Saccharomyces cerevisiae S288C: one gene and its partner. The main gene of each other region encodes a partner of the protein of the gene in region 2 in a complex. Each region holds a gene or a part of one and is shown on either strand. Other genes may lie near its edges. A codon is read from its position in the direction of its gene.

What was found.
Region 1: the proteins of MPP6 (region 2) and RRP40 are in contact, whole or in part, in a crystal structure (PDB 5OKZ), measured with the Saccharomyces cerevisiae proteins. Residues at the interface, in NP_014421.3 of Saccharomyces cerevisiae: Ile109 (codon at 873), Ser110 (codon at 870), Gly111 (codon at 867), Arg112 (codon at 864), Lys113 (codon at 861), Thr114 (codon at 858), Phe115 (codon at 855), Gly116 (codon at 852), Asp117 (codon at 849); in NP_014499.2 of Saccharomyces cerevisiae: Phe71 (codon at 1,013), Tyr120 (codon at 866), Gly146 (codon at 788), Gly148 (codon at 782), Ile149 (codon at 779), Leu150 (codon at 776), Leu167 (codon at 725), Phe168 (codon at 722), Leu175 (codon at 701), Ala179 (codon at 689), Thr182 (codon at 680), Lys183 (codon at 677), Phe184 (codon at 674), Glu185 (codon at 671), Val186 (codon at 668), Ala187 (codon at 665), Ile188 (codon at 662), Trp195 (codon at 641).

What each region holds. Positions count from the first base shown.
Region 1 is NC_001147.6:53,943-56,780, reverse strand, and holds RRP40 (exosome non-catalytic core subunit RRP40), read right to left. Parts: upstream 1,224-2,838; coding exon 501-1,223; downstream 1-500. Other genes in the region: tRNA methyltransferase PPM2, read right to left, coding at 1-329; lumazine synthase RIB4, read left to right, coding at 1,677-2,186; NOP8 (Nop8p), read right to left, coding at 2,229-2,838. UniProt on the Saccharomyces cerevisiae protein: Non-catalytic component of the RNA exosome complex which has 3'->5' exoribonuclease activity and participates in a multitude of cellular RNA processing and degradation events.
Region 2 is NC_001146.8:670,313-673,605, reverse strand, and holds MPP6 (Mpp6p), read right to left. Parts: upstream 1,198-3,293; coding exon 637-1,197; downstream 1-636. Other genes in the region: Sar family guanine nucleotide exchange factor SEC12, read left to right, coding at 1-332; SNF12 (Snf12p), read right to left, coding at 1,488-3,188. UniProt on the Saccharomyces cerevisiae protein: RNA-binding protein that associates with the RNA exosome complex. Involved in surveillance of pre-rRNAs and pre-mRNAs, and the degradation of cryptic non-coding RNAs (ncRNA) derived from intergenic regions and the ribosomal DNA spacer heterochromatin.

The sequences.
Region 1 (2,838 bases), on a different chromosome or scaffold from region 2:
ACTATCTTTTTATCCTGTGGCGTTTGTTCAATGATGGAGTTCAATCTTGACCTGATGGCAAATAACCTCAACCAATAACCTCTGTTAATACAGGGAGATCTTTTAATTTTCTTAGGAACAAAGAATTTAAAATATTCCAACAGTTTATTATTCTTATCCATTTGGAAATTATTAGCCGAACTCAGTTTTGGCAAATACAATAACTCTACCGATCTTTTAGAAGCAATTGAGGAGTTATTTGTGCCTTGAATCGCCAAATCAGCGTACTTTTTACGTCTTTCTTGTTTGACATTCTTGTTCGTTTGCTTTATAGTGGTCAGATTCTTCATCGTATTAGATATGTGCACTATAGTTGTCGAAATTTTATGGCCATATGTTAGATGTGATGAGATGAGATGAGATGAAACTTTTTTTCCTTCGCTTTTTCAAAGGACATTAAAAAAGGACGTGAAATATTGATGATATCTATGTGTTTATATATTTTAATTATACATGGTAGTCTACTCCTCCTTGACCGTAAGTATTTCTTTAAACTGTCTTTTTGCTATATCCTTGAACGCTGCCGTGTCGTTTTTTTGACAACACTCCATTATGGTTCTATAACAAGCTAAAGTGTTAGATAATTCCTCGCACTTAACCCAGATCTTCCCATTGAGACCAATGGCGACTTCAAACTTGGTATGTGCAGCCAACACTTTTAATAACGGGAAGTCATTATTGAAAAGCAACTGGCGTGCGAAATTCAAATTCACGTCAATGATCATACCATCTTCCAATATCCCGAAACCAGCATCGCGTCCTGTAGTTGAGTCAAAACATTCTATTTCGGCTTCTAGTTCCTTTTCTGCGGTACAAACTCTCGCATACACTAGATCTCCCACTTGCAAAGTTGGCCTGTTTTTCTTTGAAGCATTGGGAAAAGCCATATACGATAGTGAAACACTGGAGGAGAAATTTTGCAACGAAACCTTATAGCTATCTGAAAATGTCCCTATAATGACACCGATTACAAAATCGTTTACAGATGGAATGTATCTCTTACTAGAATAGTCTATATATGCGGTCTGAACACCACTCTTACCCTTAGCGGAAACATGCAAAACACCTGTATTAACAGGTCGTATTTCTTGAGTATTGGGGTCACAATATATGCCAGGGCCCAGTTTAACAGGTGTAGTAGGGTCTACAGGAAAGCTATCACCAGGGAATATGAACGTAGACATCTTGTATGCTCTTGGTTAGTCGAAATGCTGGAGATGAGCTGCTGAAGCATCCGTTTGTGCTGTTGGTTTAATATGCTTCTCTAAACCAAAAAATTTCAGCCGATCAGGTCCGGGTCACACCACTACCCTTACTAGTAAACAATGATGGCTTTCATTAAGGTAACTTTAAGTGAGGTGGATGGAACTAGTTTCCACGAAACTTCATCGAAGAGGTCTGGGGTTCTATGACGTATAATTAAAACTCTGGGAGGTTTTCGGAGGTTCCCGTAGGTCAATTCTTAAGGCTCTATGACATATTCTGGGAGCGGAGATATTTTCGGAGGTCCCCGTTAATAAGAGAAAAGTAGCCATATAAAAGAGAACAATGAAATATTGCCCCAGAGAGTGGGTTCAAAAGCATGAAAAGGAACAGTATAACGCAGTATAACGCAGTATAACGCAGTATAACGCAGTATGGCAGTTAAAGGATTAGGCAAACCAGATCAAGTTTATGACGGTTCCAAAATCAGGGTCGGTATCATTCATGCCCGTTGGAACCGTGTCATTATTGACGCTCTTGTGAAAGGTGCTATTGAAAGAATGGCTTCCCTTGGTGTCGAGGAAAATAACATAATAATTGAAACTGTTCCTGGATCCTATGAATTACCTTGGGGGACAAAAAGGTTTGTTGACAGACAAGCGAAGTTGGGAAAGCCGCTAGATGTTGTAATTCCTATTGGTGTACTTATCAAAGGTAGTACAATGCACTTTGAATACATTTCAGATTCCACCACTCACGCATTGATGAACTTACAAGAAAAAGTCGACATGCCCGTCATTTTTGGCCTCTTAACTTGCATGACTGAAGAACAAGCCCTGGCCAGAGCTGGCATCGATGAAGCGCACTCCATGCACAACCATGGTGAAGATTGGGGTGCTGCAGCAGTGGAAATGGCTGTTAAGTTCGGTAAAAATGCTTTTTGAATAAGCGCAGAGAAATCTATACTATATATGTATATATACTCACTATAGAAGAAGCCCGCTCTTTGATTGTTTCCTCTTACGGTGCTTCAATGCATCTTTCATTTTGCGCCTCATATCACGGGTCCAATTACCTCTGTTAGCCCAGAACTCCTCATCCCAGTTCGATAGCATTGTTTCTCTTCCAGGAGCCCTTACTTTACTCAACTGTGTTTGTCCTACTAAAAATGGCGATTGCAAATGAGGGAAAAACAAGAAATTTTTGTTATCTTTATCTCTAGATACATGTGGTACGGGAGCCGATGTCAAACCTAGGGTGTCAGATGATTTACTTACTTCTTCCTCCAGTTGGTTCACATCAACATCTTTCGCATGATCAATATCATTATCAGAATCTTCAATCAATTTGAATTGTGATACAGGTTCTGCCTCGTTGGGGTTGAATAGGTTTCTTAACGTCTCAGTGTTGCTTATTGTACCTTGACCAATTTCCTTGGTGAAAGTCGGAATAAATTCATTATCCTCCTGCCCGTCGCCCTCGTCCTGTTCTTTCCTTTCCTCTGGTTTTTCTTGTGGTAGGGTGCTCTGGTCCTTCGTCTTATTAACATTCTCGTATTCGGGAGCGTTTACTTCTTTTTCTTCTTCTTCTTCTTCT
Region 2 (3,293 bases):
TTGTGCTGCTTTCTTACATTTTACAGTTCTCCTATAAGCACAATTTGCATTCCATGCTTTTCAATTACGCGAAGGACAATTTTCTAACGAAAAGAGACACCATCTCTTCGCCCTACGTAGTTGATGAAGACTTACATCAAACAACTTTGTTTGGCAACCACGGTACAAAAACATCTGTACCTAGCGTAGATTCCATAAAAGTGCATGGCGTGCATGAGACGAGTTCTGTGAATGGAACTGAAGTCTTATGTACTGAAAGTAACATTATTAATACTGGAGGGGCAGAGTTTGAGATCACCAACGCAACTTTTCGAGAAATAGATGATGCTTGAGCTTGAGAGAAAGTTATGAGGTAGCAATAATGAAGTAGCGAAAAGGAGAGTGACGACACTCAAGCTATGAAAAAAAACGCAAAGATACAAAAACGATCTCAATGATATTGATGATAGAGATTTATCTGATAAATTAGAAGTGGTGTATTTACATGTTTTTGTATATGTTTTGGAATTGAGCGTAATAGAAAGGACGGCAGTCCTTATGGTTTATGACAAATACGAAAAAAATACTACACAATGCTTTATATTATGTTCTCATTATTATATACGAATACGTACTTCTGCTGGTGCATTGTCTGCGCTACTTTTTTGAATTTCTATTTTTATTTTTACCATTATGGTTGGTCTTTTTCTTTTTGATGCTATCCTTAAATAATTTATCTAGGTCATATTCATCCTCTCCATCGTCTTGGCTCCCTGTAAATTCCTTATCCTTAGCATCCCTTTTCTCGTCTTCATTTTGTTCGCCTTCATCAAACTTTCTCTTCCTGGAACCACTATCATCAGAATTATCGCCAAAGGTTTTTCTCCCACTTATCACACCCTCAGGTTTTCGCAGTTCACTGTAACCAACGTTGGAGATTATGAGATTGGGTCGCTTCTTATATACTACTCTTTTCACCTTTTTCTTCTCCTTACCTGAAATTTTTTTTAAATCATCTTTGTAGCTATTGAGGTCCCACGCTGAGTCATCCAGACCAAAGAGTTTACCTTTCTGCTCTATAGGTTCCACATCTGAGTTGATATTAGACGGCGTATTGGAGTTGGAACTCTCTTCGTCATCCGTCTTACCAAATTTCATAAACTTCATATTCATGACTCTACTAGAGAGTTTGCCAGTGACACCATTGTTAGCACTCATTTGTTGCTTTTCCCTTGGTTCCTTATATGCTTATTGTGTTTAAGTGGCCCTCATCTCTACTACTTTTTCATATTCTGAAATTTCCAGTAGAAAATTTTCAGCGCTTTTCTTAGAAAGAGACAATGGAATCAGACAGCCGCCATTACTTGTAGGCGCTATAAACAAATCAGCATTGTCTGTTCGTCTTTAATTATTATAAATGAATGGTGACCTTTCTTTTCCTATCTAGAGTTTATATACAAAGAAAACTACATAAATCTTCAGTCTATTGTGTATCAATGTAAAGAAGCCTACATTCGTCCATTTGATAATATGACTTCTATATTCTCGCGCAACATAGCTTCATTTTCCTTGTAAAAGTTAGCCCGCCTTACCATATCTTCATTATAGCCCTCATCTCCCGATAAAACTTTCAAAGCATTCGAGGTAGAAGCAATGCATTCATTTAATGCTTTAACTGGGTCCTCACTAATTTTCTTGAAGAAACGGTATCGTTTGTTGCTCTCGTGTAGATTCGAGAGAACGGACGTTATTTCTTTGTCCTGTAAAGCTATCTTGGGTTTGATTTGTTCCAATTCCCTGGCATTTTCATTCAATTCAGCAGCCCCAATTTGACTTTCTCTTTGTGTATTATTGAATTTTAGAGCGTTGACATCAGGTACTTCAATATCAAGAACCAACTCACCATAAGTGGAAGCTTTATCAACGCGTACTGTGTAATCAATTTCAATTGGCTGTAATGGGAGCAGGTGAGTACTATTAATAAGGGACAGTAAATCCGTTAATTTCATTGTATCTGGAGAAGATTCTTTAAGACTGCTGGGTAATAAGGTAATAAGCTGAGTGTCTAATTTTACAATAGAAACTTGACTGGAGGCTGCATCAAGCATCTTACTAGTACTGGTGTTGCTATTGTGATTGTTCCTGTTGCCCATCAAATTTTCGAATGCAGACTCATCATTGGTAAGCAATTCATTTAAATGGATGTATTTATATATGGAAAATATTGCATCATGTGATGTACCGCTCTTCAATCCTATTATTGCGGTTAGTTGTGGAGAGTAGCTCATAAATGGCTCTTCTGGGGATGATTTTCGCAGGATGCTTATAGTGCATTCTACATTTTCAGACCCTACCCTCTTAATATCGAGACCATCGAAGTCTACAGGATTATTCGGGTCATACTGCCATTTCACTGATTCTAGTTTTGGAGTTGTAGAACTCATATCCTTTTTGGCAGTCTCCTCCCCCATCGTGGCATTATTTTGGTCGGTATTAGTCGTAGTAGAGTTGTCACCATTCGGCAGTGAAAATTGTAACGGTAAGTTTAAGTTCAATTTCTTATCACTGGGTCCTTCGGTGGCATTTTCTTCAGGGGCCGCATTAAATTTAGTCGATGGCACATTATCGTTTTCCTTATTTTTGAAGTCTACCACTATCGATTCTATGAATGAGCTAAATTTTTCTCTTGCTGGATCATTAGCTTGCACATTGTCCAATAATCGACCTTCGATTCTCATCGTCCAAGTGGCATTCTCCAGTGCCATAAGGTCAGCCTCATTGTTTGTGTCCATTTGCCAGGGTTGGTTTTCACTAACATTTGAAATGAAGATTCGGAGAAATTTTACATTTGGAAAATTTAAATGAGGATAAAGAAACTCTTGGGATAGCTTTGACCTCTCCCACTGCGCAACCATTCGCTTCATATGTAAGTTTCGCAGATGAATAAAATGATCTAATCTTTTCTCGGAATCCACCAGTTGTTGGAAAGAATACAGCTCAGGAATCAATTCGGCTAAATGGTCAGGGATAACCATATCTGATGGATGAGAATGTGGCACTGTTGGCGTAATTTGAGAAGCATTATTTGCTTTATCTTGGTTCACCGGATCCTTTTTCTTTGCATGAAAGAAATTTTTAGTATCAGGTGTGGCTGCTTTTGAACTCTTTCTAGAACCTTTTCCGTTGCTGGGTTTCATTACTTTGGACATGGTTCAATCCGTTAGATCTCTGTTTGACAGCTTTAGAGTTGTCTTATTTTGTTTTTGGTTTAATACATCCACGTTATTTTGTATTTTTTTTGTTTATTATTGCAA